Linked DNA regions of Oryzias latipes. The protein of the gene in region 3 binds, or shares a complex with, the protein of the main gene of each other region. Links are inferred from orthologs where the notes say so. Each region holds a gene or a part of one and is shown on either strand. Other genes may lie near its edges.

The links.
Region 1: the proteins of bcl-2-like protein 1 (region 3) and bad are in contact, whole or in part, in a crystal structure (PDB 2BZW), measured with the Mus musculus proteins. The link is inferred for Oryzias latipes from reciprocal best matches to the Homo sapiens genes BCL2L1 and BAD. Residues at the interface, in NP_001276645.1 of Mus musculus: Ala93, Glu96, Phe97, Arg100, Tyr101, Arg103, Ala104, Phe105, Leu108, Gln111, Leu112, Gln121, Ser122, Gln125, Val126, Glu129, Leu130, Arg132, Asp133, Asn136, Trp137, Gly138, Arg139, Val141, Ala142, Phe146, Asp193, Leu194, Tyr195, Gly196; in NP_031548.1 of Mus musculus: Ala137, Leu141, Ala143, Ala144, Gln145, Tyr147, Gly148, Arg149, Leu151, Arg152, Met154, Ser155, Asp156, Glu157, Phe158, Glu159, Phe162, Lys163.
Region 2: the proteins of bcl-2-like protein 1 (region 3) and tpt1 are in contact, whole or in part, in a crystal structure (PDB 4Z9V), measured with the Homo sapiens proteins. The link is inferred for Oryzias latipes from reciprocal best matches to the Homo sapiens genes BCL2L1 and TPT1. Residues at the interface, in NP_001304848.1 of Homo sapiens: Ala93, Glu96, Phe97, Arg100, Tyr101, Ala104, Phe105, Leu108, Gln111, Ser122, Gln125, Val126, Glu129, Leu130, Asp133, Asn136, Gly138, Arg139, Val141, Ala142, Phe146, Leu194, Tyr195, Ala199, Ala200, Ser203; in NP_003286.1 of Homo sapiens: Phe14, Asp16, Ile17, Lys19, Ile20, Arg21, Ile23, Ala24, Asp25, Gly26, Leu27, Cys28, Leu29.

What each region holds. Positions count from the first base shown.
Region 1 is NC_019876.2:12,866,376-12,871,403, forward strand, and holds the start of bad (bcl2-associated agonist of cell death), read left to right. Parts: upstream 1-1,497; 5' UTR 1,498-1,672; intron 1,673-2,000; 5' UTR 2,001-2,008; coding exon 2,009-2,156; intron 2,157-4,154; coding exon 4,155-4,369; intron 4,370-4,448; coding exon 4,449-4,580; 3' UTR 4,581-5,028. UniProt on the Homo sapiens protein: Promotes cell death. Successfully competes for the binding to Bcl-X(L), Bcl-2 and Bcl-W, thereby affecting the level of heterodimerization of these proteins with BAX. Can reverse the death repressor activity of Bcl-X(L), but not that of Bcl-2.
Region 2 is NC_019879.2:17,099,064-17,104,003, forward strand, and holds tpt1 (translationally-controlled tumor protein), read right to left. Parts: upstream 3,335-4,940; 5' UTR 3,258-3,334; coding exon 3,230-3,257; intron 2,459-3,229; coding exon 2,391-2,458; intron 2,171-2,390; coding exon 1,986-2,170; intron 1,895-1,985; coding exon 1,789-1,894; intron 778-1,788; coding exon 661-777; intron 581-660; coding exon 578-580; 3' UTR 214-577; downstream 1-213. Other genes in the region: RANBP2-like and GRIP domain-containing protein 8, read right to left, coding at 4,308-4,613, 4,715-4,940. UniProt on the Homo sapiens protein: Involved in calcium binding and microtubule stabilization. Acts as a negative regulator of TSC22D1-mediated apoptosis, via interaction with and destabilization of TSC22D1 protein.
Region 3 is NC_019863.2:26,339,047-26,344,156, reverse strand, and holds the start of bcl-2-like protein 1, read right to left. Parts: upstream 3,501-5,110; 5' UTR 3,269-3,500; intron 2,690-3,268; 5' UTR 2,662-2,689; coding exon of another isoform or gene 2,631-2,661; 5' UTR 2,594-2,630; coding exon 2,081-2,593; intron 1-2,080. Other genes in the region: activity-dependent neuroprotector homeobox protein, read right to left, coding at 4,575-5,110. UniProt on the Homo sapiens protein: Potent inhibitor of cell death. Inhibits activation of caspases. Appears to regulate cell death by blocking the voltage-dependent anion channel (VDAC) by binding to it and preventing the release of the caspase activator, CYC1, from the mitochondrial membrane.

The DNA.
Region 1 (5,028 bases), on a different chromosome or scaffold from region 3:
AGAAACTCAATGTATGACATCAGGTTACCTTGTGGATTAATCAGCTGTGTCACAAGAGAAATGTTCTTTTCAAACTAATTTTCAAGACAAATACTCTTGTTTTTGTATAGAATATCTGCATTGTTCCAAATATAGTAGCGCTGAGTAGAAAAATTATGTTTGTAGATCAAAGTCTATGCCAATAAAACCTGCTTATGAAAATTAGACAGTTTTAAAGGATTTTTTTCCATTATTAAATTACATAATAAAATAAATGGCAGACCTCCAAGCTTATCAAATATGTATTTTTATATGAAATTCTAAAATGAGGTTTCACTTTTTAAGAAGTTTTTTTAACCATTTCATTTTGATGACATTACTTAGAATGGAAAAGTTAAGAAAGTCAAGTCCTCCGTCTTTTGATGAATTAATTACTACTGATTATCGTACATAGTGGATTCTATTTCTCCAAAGGAAGTTAAAAAGTATCTGATCAATCCTTTTTGCATTTTTACCCTCTTCCCTTCTCTACTTCTGTACCTGTCCCAAGCCCGGTTGCTTTGAGAGGGTTGCGTCAGGAAGGGCATCCGGCGTAAAACATTGCCAAGACTACCATGCGAATCTTCCACTGTGAAGTGGCTGATTCGCTGTGGCGACCCCTGATGGGACAAGCCGAAAGTGAAACAACTGTCCAGAGATAGTGAGGAAACAATGTAGACTAGTCTGGAAATTCCTTCTGCTTTTGCTAAGAGGACGTGACCTTTTTGTAGCCAGCGATTAAACTTATTTTGTGCTTTTGCAATCATAGGATTATAGTTATTCAGTTCTCTTTGTTTTTGTTCTTTAGTTATCTGCAATCCCAAATATGTGACTTTTTCTTTGACTACTATACTATTTATGGATGTTAGAGCACATTGTTTAAGAGGAAATAACTCACATTTCTTTAGGTTTAGATAGGTCCTGATGCTTTTGAAAATGTTTCTATAACTTGAAGAAACCTGTGAGGAGTTTAAGAATAATGATTCATCTGCCAGTTGACTTACAAGAATGTTTTTACCAGCAATAGAAATCCCATCAATATTCTCAATTTTATTTATCTGCAGAAAACGTGTGCAACCAGAAGAAACAGGTATACAGAGACAGTACACCCCTGTTTTATTCCTCTCCGAAGACAGAATCTGCGACTCGAGTAGTGCCAGCACTCAACTTGTGACGTCGTGAGTTTTGGCAGAAAAAAAGGGGGAGGGGTGAAAATGAGGAGCTTTTTGGTTCTGCGCTTCTTCTCTGGTCATTACGGTAACCAGACCAGACAAACAAGTCCTAGCTCGCAACAGTGACGTCAGCGCGCTGCGAAAGTGCAGGGGCGCGCGGCGATTGGGCGAAAGCGGAGCAGGGGTGTAATGTGCCGCGGGCAGAGAACACCAAAACATTAACAACAAGCAGTTTCTGCCGCTCGAAGCTAACTTCGGAGACTCTTTCCCACCTCCGGAGCGGACGCCGCAGAGATTTCGGGTGAGAAAAACTACTTCCAGGAGGTTCTCTTTAGCTGCGCGGAAGGTGGAGGGGACCGCTTCCGCCCTGTATGAAGTTTCTTTTGTCCTCTTGCTCTTCGGTCAACAACAACACAAAACAAACGAGGCAGTGTGTCGACGAAGAGCACAGCTCGCGAGCGCGTTGAACTACGAAAAACAAAGTACGTTATAACATCTTAACGAAGCGCGTGCTGTCAAAGTTGTGTCCTTATCTCGTGGAGTTGTTATTTTTTTAATACCTTTGGACTCAACCACTGATAGGCAGCTGGGTGTGTTACAGGTAGACACATAATTCATTTAGCTAATAGACATTTTATGACTCTAGGAGTGGAAAGTTGGGCCTAGCTCAATTTCTATTTCATTTCGGCTTCAAATGTGAAAGAAAAATAGTATTTGATTTGTGATGGTCTTCGTTTAAAATGATCATCAAGCTTCTCTGGTAGTGAATTATTGGAACAACGTGTCCTCAAAACACCTTTTTTTCTGCAGATGTTACGATGGCAGCAAAGTTCACCATCTCAGACGATTCGGAGTCATCCGAGGAGGTAGAGGGAGGAAAACTTGACCTGGGAGCGGCAGCAGGAGGAGAAGGGGAGCACCTTCATGATCGACATTCCCTCACCCTGCCAGAGCTTCGACTCACAAGTAAGCAGACCAAAAGCATTATGGGAAATGAGAAGCACTTTTAAGAGTTGTTTGAGAAAATTCCAGTCTTAAGGCAGCAGGATTCGGATTTTTTGGGATCCTGAGGTGGAGCGGTTAGCTGTTTTATAGGGTCACTGTATGCAAGAACTGGACTGAGCGACCCCTCCCACCTCACGTTCCAAACAGGAAATCCCTGCTGGCTCCAAGAAGACAAAGTCTTATAGACTTCTATTGCGAAATAATCAACTATTGCTGACTCTATATGATCCTTTTTTTTAATAATTATATTTTTTTCTATAGTGCAAATTATTTCAGTTATAATCTGAGCCTTCAGATGCCTCAATAAAAGCATGTGGTTTCATGTCAAACATTTCACTGACTGATTCTCCCAAATGATAGGGCTGTAGACCTTTAACAAGCTCTCTCCTGATTGGTGAGTGGTTTCCATAGAAACTTTGACTCAGACCAATCAGAGTTTACTAACATTGTCCCACGCATTGCCAACATTTTGGCGACGACATTGACTTTGTTTCATTGGAGCTGGATGGACGGTATTTCCTCACTATACAGTGAATGGCTTGTACTTCAGTTTTTGTTAGGACCCCATATAGAAAAAGCTGTCATTGATAGGGGATGGATAATTTTCTCAAGGATAAACATTGTCTTTAATAAAGCGTTGTTGTTGTTTTTTTTATATTTATGAAATATAAATATGCAGTTTAAATTGTAGTGCCATTTAGATGACACAAAAAGAAATAGACGCTGAAGGAGAAACTAATACCTGCTGGAAGAACAAAAAGGGAACAAAACTTTTCCTAGTGGTAAGGTAATCACTGTCTCACCTAAATGTGAACACAATCAGAGATTGTGTGCAGTCAGTACAGTGTTTTCTTGTTTATCATGGAGTTACATTCTAAATATCGATAAAGTTTGATTCTTTTCATATCCAGACTTTTCTCTCTTTTTTTTAACTCTCAAATCTCAAGCCTTCGTAGAAAATAAGTCCAATATTATAGAATGAAAACAAAGATGTAACTGTGGCACAAATGAGATCCACAAGGTCTACAGCCAATCAGAACGCAGTGTGCTGTATAAAACAATACACATACTGAATTGCACTACAAAGATCCACGAAACAGTGAGACAGCGATAGATGAGCCGCGTAACAGAGTGGGATCACGACCCCAAAAACGTTAAATCTCAAGTTGAGTAGAAAGAGTTTGACTTGTTTTGTTTTGGAAGCTGCTGCTGCATGGAAACTGTCGACAGTGAGACTCTCTGGACTGTCCACACGATTCAGCTCAAACTGCGGATTCTGACGCAGAAAAAGGCAGCTTTGCACCGATCAGCAGCTCACTACTGTAAAGTTTCGCACGGCTGCTTTTCTATGCATCGGAAACAGCTGAAGTGACGTCAATTGTGCGACTGCTTAATGAATTACGGTCGTCGAAAGAGCTAAAGCAGCGGCGTTAAAGGGTTCAACGGCCTCTGGTTGGAGTCTTCTGAGGATGGAGCCGTCAGCATCTGCAGCTGTAGCCTACAATCAACAAAGTGACTAGTAACTGCAGAAAAAGTCACTATTTAACAGTTTTTGAAATGATTTAAAATGGAACAGAACCGGGTTGTCTGTGTTTGCGCACGAATCAGTGGAGCCTCACGGGACGTGGCAAACGTGGCATCAGATACTATTTGTCTGATTGTTATTTTCCTTATGTTTTTAGCTCGTACGTTTCATGGCGCAGCATCATTATATTTGACCAAAACTTTATTTTTTACATTTTTTATAAACTAACAGGCAACATAAAAAGGGGAAAATGAGGCCGAATTCCCTCACTGCTGCCTAACTCCCAATGCATTTTGGGATTGTAGATTCCCCTCATAAGTGGCAATTCAGACACAGCAGAACCCTTGAAGGGGTGTTTCCTCTGTCTTCAGGTCTCCCAGGTTACCCGTACTTTTTCAACGTTCGTTAACATTTTGTCCTTACCTGTCATAAAGGTAACGGGCGTACCAGGCTGAATTCAGAGTCCACCGCTTCCACGTACTCCAGAGATGAGGACCTCGCGCGGGAAGACGAGGCCGGAACCCCCACTGATGGGTTGGCCTTCAGGGGCAGATCCAAGTCGGCCCCTCCGGCTCTGTGGGCCGCCAAAAAGTACGGTCAGCAGCTCCGACGGATGAGCGACGAGTTTGACAGCCTGCTGGATAAAGGGGTAAGAGCGGGTGGCGAGGGGGCGGGGCGGCAGACGAGAGTCGCTTCCCGGATTTGAACGTGACATCTGCCTTGTGCAGGAGATGAGGAAGGTGAGGAGCACTGGGGCGGCCAAACAGATGCTCCACTCCACGAGCTGGTGGAACTACCTCTTCAGCCACCCGGAGGCGGAAGGAGAGTACAGCCACCACGAGAGCCACCGCACTGAGTAAGGATGGAGAGGAAGACTGTTGTGATGAAGGACTCGGAGGAGGACAGAAACCACGGGGGCATCTACACAAGAGGAGGGGTCGACCCACTCAAATACGAGAGGAATGGGAACACTAAGACCGGGCTGAACGGGTCTCCATCTTTGAACTCGCTCATTTCTTTTAAAACATTTTTGTCTTTCTTTGTATTTGACTGTGATGTTTTTTAAAAAAAAAAAAAGCCCACTTGACTGAGAATTTAGACATTTGACACATCAGCGTATACAATGAAATTATCATCAAATATAAGCAATCTACTGCAGGCGGAGAAAAAAAAGGCGCCGACATCCGGCCGTCAGAGGAGATAGAAGTGAAAACTCCTCCTCCTGCGGATGAACGGGGGCGTCTTTTATCTCCGTATGGCGAAGACGGAAAGGGTCAAAGTGCTCGATTTGGGCTCGTCCGAACAATC
Region 2 (4,940 bases), on a different chromosome or scaffold from region 3:
TTGTACCATTACGGTTTTGCTCCAAACTTTTAAACTCAGAGCGAACAGTTCTGGCAACAGAATAAGCATTTGAAATGCTCCTGAAGATTTTTAGATTCTTCTTACGCCTACATTTTAGTTTGCACGAGTCAAATATCTGTCAACCTAAAGCTGCGTCGTTTGCGATTCAAACTTGAGCACACTCACTCCAATGTAAAGAAGAACTTGGTAATATTTTTTTTCCATTATCTTTATTTGATAGATGAATTTTGAAACCATAAACCCAAACTCAATGTGGTCTGGGATGTTTGTTGTTGCTAAAACTGAAGGCAGATGAAGGAAAAACACTTTTGGCCAGAGTCAGAGCTTCAATCATTCACTTGGTTTCCATGGAGACAAAAAGCACCCAAAAGCCAAAAACAAAGTTTAAAAACTGTATTCTGTGACCGTGTTTGATTCCGCTCAGCATAAGTGGAACCTGAGGACAAAAGTATCCATTCAGACAAAAAGAGCACAGAGTGGGGGCTCCTTAGGTCTGCTCCTGGGGGGCCTTTTGGGAAGCAGCAGGCAATTGAACAGCAGTTCTCATTGCAGATTTTTACTGAAAACAGAACAGTGAGAATTAGATTTTTAAAAAACATTTTTAGCCATGACGTATAATAAACACTAAAAGCTACTCACGCATTTCTCAATCTCCAAGCCGTCCTTGAAGAAGAGCATGTATGGTGTGATACCATCCTCACGGTAGTCCAGCAGACCCACCGTGCCCTCGGGGTTCATGGACTCGCCGGTGTAAAACTGAGAAGCAAATGAGAATTTTTAAGTCCAGTTTCGATGATCTTTTTTTTCCCTGTTTTTAAAGCGTTTTCAGTGGCTTTAATTATGATTATACCATTTTAGCCAAAAATAAAACTGTACTGTGTTTTAGGACAGTCCAAATCTATGCAAGTTTATTTGGAAAAATAAAACACCATTTACATAACTCAATTGGTTCATTCTAAAAATGAACGCTTTAAGGCCATAAAATCAAAAATTGCGTCATTTAGAATAAATCAGCAAAGGAATCGCATCTCCCAGCCTCTATGTCCCAAATATGCTCTTTGAGCGGGTCAGAGGACTAGAACCTGAGTTCAAATGTGATGAGCTGTCCAAAATACCATTGAAACTTTGGGAAGTTTGGTTTGGCCCCGTCATTCCATCAAATAGTATTATGGGGGGGACGTTGTGAGTAAACAGCATTTTCCAGAGTTGCATTACATTGTATATCCTTACATTAAGGATATCTCCTTACAGGATTAAAAAAAAGACTAAATTAGTAACTAACCTTCAGCTGTGATTCAAATAGACAATCTAGAAAACACATTGATGAATAAATACAAAGAAACCCATTTTAAAATCTCAAATTTACCCTGCAGGAGATTTTTCACACTAAAGATTTATGTTTTAATCTGATGCGTGTACTTCTGCTCATCTGTAAAACATTAGCGCAAATCTTTTATAGCCATAAACAAAAACGTCTTCTACTGTTTAGAATTGGGTGTCACCATTTATTTTCTGATAAAGGATGTATCCCGACTTGATTTTGTACATAAACAAATTAATATAAATTTTCTTTAAATATGTCCATCAGAAAAATGCAGAACGAAGACGTTCATTTGGTTCTTAAATGAAATCAAGCCAGATGTTTAGTGTCACGTATATCACTGTCTGCTGTTTCCTTGTTTTTGTCATCACACTGAAAGTACATCCAACACTAAACAATGAATGGAGCCCATTAAAAGAGTCTGCAGAAGACAGCTTTGTAAATACCTGGTAGTTCTTGATGTTTCCAACAACGCCCTTTACTGCCACTTGAGCCTCGGCCATGAATTTCTCCACTCTGTCAGGGTTGGACTCTTGCAGCTTTGCCTTAATACTAAACATACAAGCAAGGCCATGTTCTTGATGCTGTCCAAACTGGTAAATGTCTTTTTGTGGGATTGAAATATATAAAGACTGATACTCACGACTTCATGTAGTCTTTAATGTAAGTCAAGTACCCCTTCTTATCAAAGCCCGTCTCTTGTAGGTTGTGGTTGAGGACAATGTCCACCCCGGAAACTGTGCTCGACTCGTTGGTCTCAGTCGCCTCCTCGGCAGATGCATTGGCTCCAATTAAGGCATCGTCAAATCCCTCTGTCCTGGTGACCGTCTGAAATCAATACAAACAGGGTGAGAACATGTAACCCAAAAAGGCATAGGGGCGTAGTAACAAGATGAAGCTCAACAACATTTTCACAATTTTTAAGTTTCATTTACTGGTACTTGGAAAAACACTATGTTGAAGTGAAAGAGTTGAAAGATACTAAAAATATAGGTCAACCCTTTTAGCTGAATAGCAGTTTCTGTGATGATTGTGTCATCTCACTCACCTTTCCTTCAACTTCGTAGAAGATTTCCGTTTCTTTTATTTTGTAAATATCAGAGAACATCTCATCCCCTACAACAAAAGAACATTGGTAAGCACAACTCTTGAGGGGTAATAAAGAACCAAATTTATTACACATTTCACTACCTTACTGAAAAACTTTCCTATTGTATGGTTTCAATTAAGTGGAATCACACTCCATCACTAGTACGACATGTTCAAACCCGCACTTCCTGTGCATTTCTAAATAAAAGCCTCTCCCAGATTAAAGCCGAATAGTCTATCTTCTTTGTGCCTTGAATAGCTTAAACCCTGAGTCTAATACACACTAAAAATCAAAGCGAAACAAAACCCCTTAATATAATCTTGGTAATTTTCCAGAACTTTACAGTTTCATGAACCCAACTCAATTTAAAATGCGTGCACTGCCAGTCTACACACTCTGGCCACACAAATCAAACTGAACTAGAAGCTATATAGCCGAAAAGCTATAGACAAAAACTCCCACACAACTCTAAAACGCCAGGCCGCAGTGTTAAATCCAGAGGCCCGATAATTATTTATTAGTACGAAACAAACGCGTTGGCTCAGACTGAAAAGATTTCGTATACATTTTTGAAAAGCGGCCAAAACTCTGTTTCGGAAAAGCCGGCTAACCGGCGGGGCGGATAACACTCCATAGTTTTCGTTAGCATCGCTAACTTCTGAACACGATACACGAGTTAGCTAGCTAGCCACCGAAAGCTAGTTTCCCATCACTAACAGCGTAACGCCTCAAACTAGGCTTTCTAGACCGTAACATCACCAAACTTCAAGACACAAAACTCAATTACATCGACTTACCACTGATGACGCACTTGTAGATGATCATTTTGGCTGCTTCGGTGGTAGATCTTCCAGAGACAGAGACAAGGCCGACCGCCCCAAAAAGCTCAGGAGAGGAAAAAGACCGAGCATGCGCCTGGGCACCGTATTTACATCCTGCTGACGTCACTCCGGACAGCCACGTACTTAGTTTGCTGCTACTTGGAGGTGGCGGCCAAAAGTGGTAATGCACTATTATGTTTGTCTTTTCGTAAAAATGTTTTACGGAATCATTATAGATTATATCTCCTAGTTTTAATAATCGAATATATTATTTCCCCACTTTATTTCCTTGTGATAAATAATTCAGTTAACTATACCTTACCAACGTTTTCCTTTTTAGTTCCTTTAGGTTTATCATGATCTTAGCTCCCCTTCATATTGTAATAAAGAGCTTTTCCAATGCTAAATGAAAGCTTAATCAATAATTTGACACTGAAAACAAACACTTAAATATTTTGTAAAGCAACTTTATTAATTTTGAGATTTGTTTTGGTACAAGCAGTATCTGAATTGAACGTCATCTCACTCTGTACACATAATCAAACATCTTGGTAGTTTGTAAAGCAGAAACATCTAGTTACCCTCCAGAGGGTAAATATGACCTTCGGCGGTTGCTCAAAGAAAATGTTGTTGGTTTCCCACTTTAAAATGTAACCAGAGACTGCATTTGAAATGGGAGACGTGTACGTGGTGACAGAGCTGCTTCCTGAAAAACCGCAAAACATTCAACTAGCAGTGAAGAAAACCAGTACAGTCAAACGGAGCAGAAACATAACAAAAACCCAAACAAAAACACCTTTAAAAGTTCATGTACAATTTTACACAAAAAAATAAACTCTTGACCAATATTTAAATGACATGTCAAAAGGGAGCAAAGGTAACATTGCCCTAAAATTCTCCTCCTCACTGTTTCCCATTTGAGGTTACACTGCAAAATAGTTTCCAATCTTTACCTTCTTAATAAAAATGTGACTAAAGATTGTGCTTTGGGAGAAAGATTGTGCTCTTCAAAAGCCTGAAGAGAGTTCCATGTTGCTCTTAGACTTTCAAAAGGCTACAGCTGTCCACACTCTGTGATAACCAGCTTCTTAGAGGGAACCCCTTGCTTTGTGCCCAGCTCTCCCATCTGCTGAACAACATCCATGCCGTCCCGAACCCAGCCAAACGCCACGTGTTTGAAGTCCAGGTGTTCTGCTTTTTTCAGCGTTATAAAGAACTGGGAATTGTTGGTGTCGCGTCCTCGATTTGCCATCGACAGGATCCCTGGACCTGTGTGGCGAACGTCAAAGTTCTCGTCCTCAAACGAGCTCCCGTAGATGGACTTGCCCCCTGTGCCGTTGCTGTTGGTGATATCACCACCCTGAAACAGAAAGTGGAAAGTGTGGGAGAAGCTGAAATCCTGCTCTGAGGGACAGAGAGCTTCATGTTACTAAAACAAGATCAGTCCCCCTGCCTCCGTACCTGACACATGAAATCTGGTACGACCCTGTGAAAGATGGAGTTCTGAAGGCCAAAGCCTTTCTCGCCGGTGCAGAGGGCTCTGAAGTTCTCAGCAGTCTTGGGAACAATGTGGGAGAAAAGCTCTATGGTGATGGAGCCGAGCGGCTCGTCATCAGCAGCTACTTTGAGGAACACTTGTGGGTTGGTCTCTCTAGAGTGCTCCTGGACTCTGGACATCTGTGGTGAC
Region 3 (5,110 bases):
TTAATCACATGTCATCAGTCTGACCAATCAGAAGTGGTTAAAGTCTCCACTTCCTTGTTCCAAATTAGCTCATAACTCAGTCAGTTCCGACAAAAACACCAGCTAAAGCTCGTCTTTAGCGGTGTAGCTTTCCACAGAATCCGGTATCAGACCGTGTAACAAGTGAACAAAACCATGAAGCTCAGAGACGCGAGTCTTTCTGCCGTTTTCTCGCAGTTTTTACACTACATCTCCCATGATGCATTGGCTTAAAGGGACAGCGTCTTGAAAACACAACGAACATACAGCTTGTATGTAACTTAACTTTTATTACATCTTTTAGAAAAACATCTGCAACTTCCTGCTTTTTCTGCCACAATTATCACAAAAATGCACGTCAGATTGCCGGGGGGGGGGGGGGGGGGGGGGGGGGCTGTAAATCAAAACAGACTATGAGTTTCTGCTTCTTTTTTTTTTTTGGGATGCTGGTGTGCCGCGGGATTTTTGTCAAGGTTAAAGTGTGCCGTGGCTCAAAAAAGGTTGAAAAACACTGAACTAGAGCAATCCATCAATGCTGAGGCATTATAGAGCTCAATGTGGCAGCACAGAATATGAAAATCCTCATGGGAGTCTTTGACATGTTCAAAAATAGTCTTTGTGTGTGTTTGCAATATTATTAATAAAAATTAAGCTTTAAACTAAAGATTTTTTTTTAACTTGCAGTTCCTAACAAGCAACGGATGAGGCCACGGTGAAGATGATCACGAAAGACTGTCAACCACTCATTGCTGTTGAAGATGAGGGATTCAAGGGTTATTGCACTTTCATACGAAGTCCTACCAAGAGAAATCATTTTGAAACAAAGACTACAAAAACTTTTGTTTCTTATTAAAATGTATGAATGAATCCATTTTTAGACTGTTATTCTGTGTGTAAAGTAAAAGATTAAAAAAAACGGCGAGCGGATGCATCAGAATGGAGCAGAGCAGGGAGCTTGTGACCTACTGATTGTAGTTTCTGTCACAACTACAGGCTTTTTTTGTCTTCTCCTGATTCACAACATTTTGAATAAAGAAATACTCAAAAATTGCAGTTTAAAAAAATATATATATATATATATATCCTCCATCATGAGAAAAATGTTACAAAAACATGTTGACATGATCCCATTTTAATTCAAGTGGGGCTTTAACAGTTTCAGAATTACTGCAGGGGTCACTATAGAGGAATCAACACTTTGTCAATACAGTGTTGAGAAATTAACACTCCTTTAGGCATCATCATCCCATCACTATATCACTGTAATTCCACTGCTATTTCCAAAGGATGTCTAAGCTTTGTTTTTATCATAAATGTTATAAATGCTTAGTAAATCTTTAATGGGCTCATATCAAGCAAATTCAACTTTTTGAGCTTTTAAGTTACTGTAATGTTAATTTCTCACACAAAAAATGAGTCGTCTCACTTCCAGGTAGAAAATAACTTGAAAATAATAAGAAATTCTTATTTTGTGTGCCAAAGGTAATATATGATCCTATATATGAAAATAGTTTACTCTAAAATGCTTCGACAAAGCGTAATATAGGCCCTTTAAACAGACTTGACAGGGAGTTTTCAAACACCATCCACTTCACTTTAAAAAAAAAAAAAAAAAACAATCTCCATGTAAATGTCTAAGATGTTGGTTTTTCCTCTTCAAAAAAAATAGATGGAAGAATGTTTTCTGCTGAACGTAAATCAGATTTGAAACTATAAAAAAACAGAAAACTGGGTTTCTGCCAAAATGCTTAACTTTTGACTTAAAGTGGCTTCTGGAGAATCAGGACTTAGGAAATTCTTTTACAGCTCCACAGTTCCAATAAGTAAATGTTGCTTTTTTTTAAAAGTTTTAAAGTTATATAAAGGATCAGAATGAAAGATGACTATAGAGATGCAGCAATTAACTAACTCTGTCAAAAAAACAAACAGGATAAAACAGAACTTTGAATGTCAAGAAAACTGAAGATATGGACTCAACAATGAAAACATAAACTTACAGACACCGTCCACTTGATCCTGGACCAACATTAAAAAATCATGACTATGTCAGGAAGAGACTCACCCATCCTCCATGACTGTGGATCCATGGACTTATTTGCTCATCCAGGTACTGGGTCATCCATTCAGCAATGCGGGAGACCAGCTCACCCATATTCCTCTCGACACACTCGACACACAGCGCACCACCAAAGACAAACAAACCCACAACGCGCCCCCAGTTGATCCCATCCTTGAACAGCTCATCCAACACCCTTTTGAAGTTTTGGTAGGCCGTGTCTGGAGTGATATGAAGCTGCACGGAGAGATCACTAAAACCTTGATGGAAACGACGTTCAAACTCATCGGCCGAATCTTTGAGAGTTGATTTGATGGCGTCCATGCTAGCACAACAGGGACAGGACCTCCTCAGCCGGCCGTCCTCACTGCTGACCAGCCTGCGATTCCGGGCATCGGAGTGGTCCTCTTCAGTTTCTCCCCCATCGTCTGTGGGCTTCAGCAGGGACACAGGATAGTCCCTGCATGACATCTTATAGGCTAAATAGAACCGGACCAGCTCTCTGTTACAGTGGGACATTGTGTGAGCTTGAACCTCCAGTGTGAAGCCAACCTACTCAGATGCCATGATTTCTTCCACTTAGTCATCTGTCACGTCAGAGATTCTTTATGCAACCTGCAAGCACACAGCAGGCAAAGTGACTTTATCCTTCTATGCAGCTTATGCATCAGGTTTAGAACAGGTTTTTAGAGAATCATCAGTTTAAACTGATGAATCATCAGTTAAAATCATCAGGTCTTTAGAGAATTTCCCCATTGTGAGATGATTAAGCTAAATAAAGTTTTATCTAATCTAAAACATATTTGACTTTGATGGCTAAACTTAATTATATGCTTTCACTTTCGCACTACTAAATAAATGTTTAAACAATCGGAACAAACTTAACAGCCAGGGTTAGCTAGTCTGCAAAACGTTAGAGCAAAAATGAAACGAAAACTATGATAGCAAGAAGTCACCCGCTTTACCTAACAATTCACATTTCAACCTTAGCTAAATAGATTAATCTTACGACGCGTATAGTATCAAACAAATGTCTCTACGTGTCAACTTTTTAACCCTTATTTTTATATACAAGCCTGTTAGCCTCGCGTGCTAAACTACCTGCTAAGGAAACACAACAACGGCGTAAGCGCGTCGAAAGCACAGCTATAGTGTTTGTTTGTTGTTGTTTTTGCTTTAATAAATCATACTTACAGCAGTTTTAGGATTTATTTTGTGTTGACTGAGCATTCTGATCAGGTAATATTTAAACAAGAGCCCAGAAATACATATATTTTTTGTAACAGTCTCTTACTTTGACACTAAAGTGACGTACACTGGAAGAGAGCCAATCGAATAACTGAATTAGACACAAGTCCCGCCCTCTTCTGCTTTCCACCAATCATCAAATCTGGATTTCCGACCTGGTTGCTCCTATTTTCTTCATTCAGTGTCGAGTGACAGTTGTAAACGGGAACAAACATGTGAGCAAAATCTTATTTTTAACGTGTTCTTGTAGCGTTTTTCTGATTATGGAGAGCATATATGAAGACATTTAAGTATAAAATTACATTCCCGGCAATATCTTTATGCAAATCGCTGTGAGTCAGGTGAAAAGAACTTTTCTTGTGACGTAGAAAATACGCTGGGCAGCCCAAAAACTATTTTCCCTGGGAGGGAAGGTGGGGTTGTAACTTGCAAATGCTCCTGCCGACTTCCTGAGGCAAAATTTTAATGAACTACTGCCACCGTGCAGAAACTGTCCCAAAAAGCAGATTTTTTTCAATTTTATTTTAGTGTATTAAAAAAAAAACATTATCATAATTACTGGGAATGCTTTGGAAATATCACTAAAGATGATCGGAGTGGGATTTTTAAATTTATCCAACATAAAACTACGTAAGCATAGCTTAACGCCGAAGTTCAGTTCATGGAGCCAATTCATCCTTGTAGGAACGCATACCATAAAATTCCAAGATTATAAGAAAAATGTAAAAACTGATCACTACTGCCTTATTACCCAACACAATCATTAAGCTGAGCTTAAGTGTTAAGAATTGTCCTTACCTACTTGATAAAAGCTAGTCAAATTTTGTTTAAACTAGATTTTCCTGAATAAAGATTCTTAATTAAAAACTTAAATTAGGAAATTATACTTTGGTAGAGACAGGGTACAACAAAAAAACTTTTAATAACACATCATATAATCATTTACATACACTTTTAACATATTTTACATTTTCTAAAAGTGAATAACCAAAATTCATCTTAGCTGAGTGGAAAAAAGTAAACAAGTAAAATATTACAAAGATGTGACAAAACCCAGTAAATACAAAATGCAAAGAAACTAACAATGACATAAGTATATACAAAACGACTAACATGATGTTTCATGAAATACGGTATTATGTAGCATAGTCCCTTAAATGAATGCGTTCAGAAAGGTAAGAGTTTCAATTTTGTTTTTATGGTGTCATTGGAGTTCTTGTTTTAAATGTAAACTCCACTAAAACTAACAGCTTTATGTTGAACACAAGCGGCTCACACCAGCATTTTCTTTATTTCCTTGCAAAGAACTTTCATTGTCATCGTCATGTCTCGCAATTTTTTTCTCACCTTGAATTGAGATCCAATTTGGTTTCTCATCTTGCAGTGAACTTTCATTTTCTTCCCCATTTTGCAGAGCGCTCTCCTTTTCTCCAGCGTTTTCTGTGACATCTTGGAGAGAGCTTTCCTCAATTTCTTCCTCGTCTTGCAGAGGGCTTTGGCTTTCTCTCTCATTTGGCTTTGAATTTCCACTGTCTTTCTCATCCTGCTGAGGACTTGGAATTTCCTTCTCATCCTGCTGAGGACTTGGAATTTCCTTCTCATCCTGCTGAGGACTTGGAATTTCCTTCTCATCTTGTGGAGGACTTGGAATTTCCTTCTCATCCTGCTGAGGACTTGGAATTTCCTTCTCATCCTGCTGAGGACTTGGAATTTCCTTCTCATCCTGAGGAGGACTTGGAATTACCTTTTCATCCTGAGTAGGACTTGGAATTTCCTTTTCATCCTGAG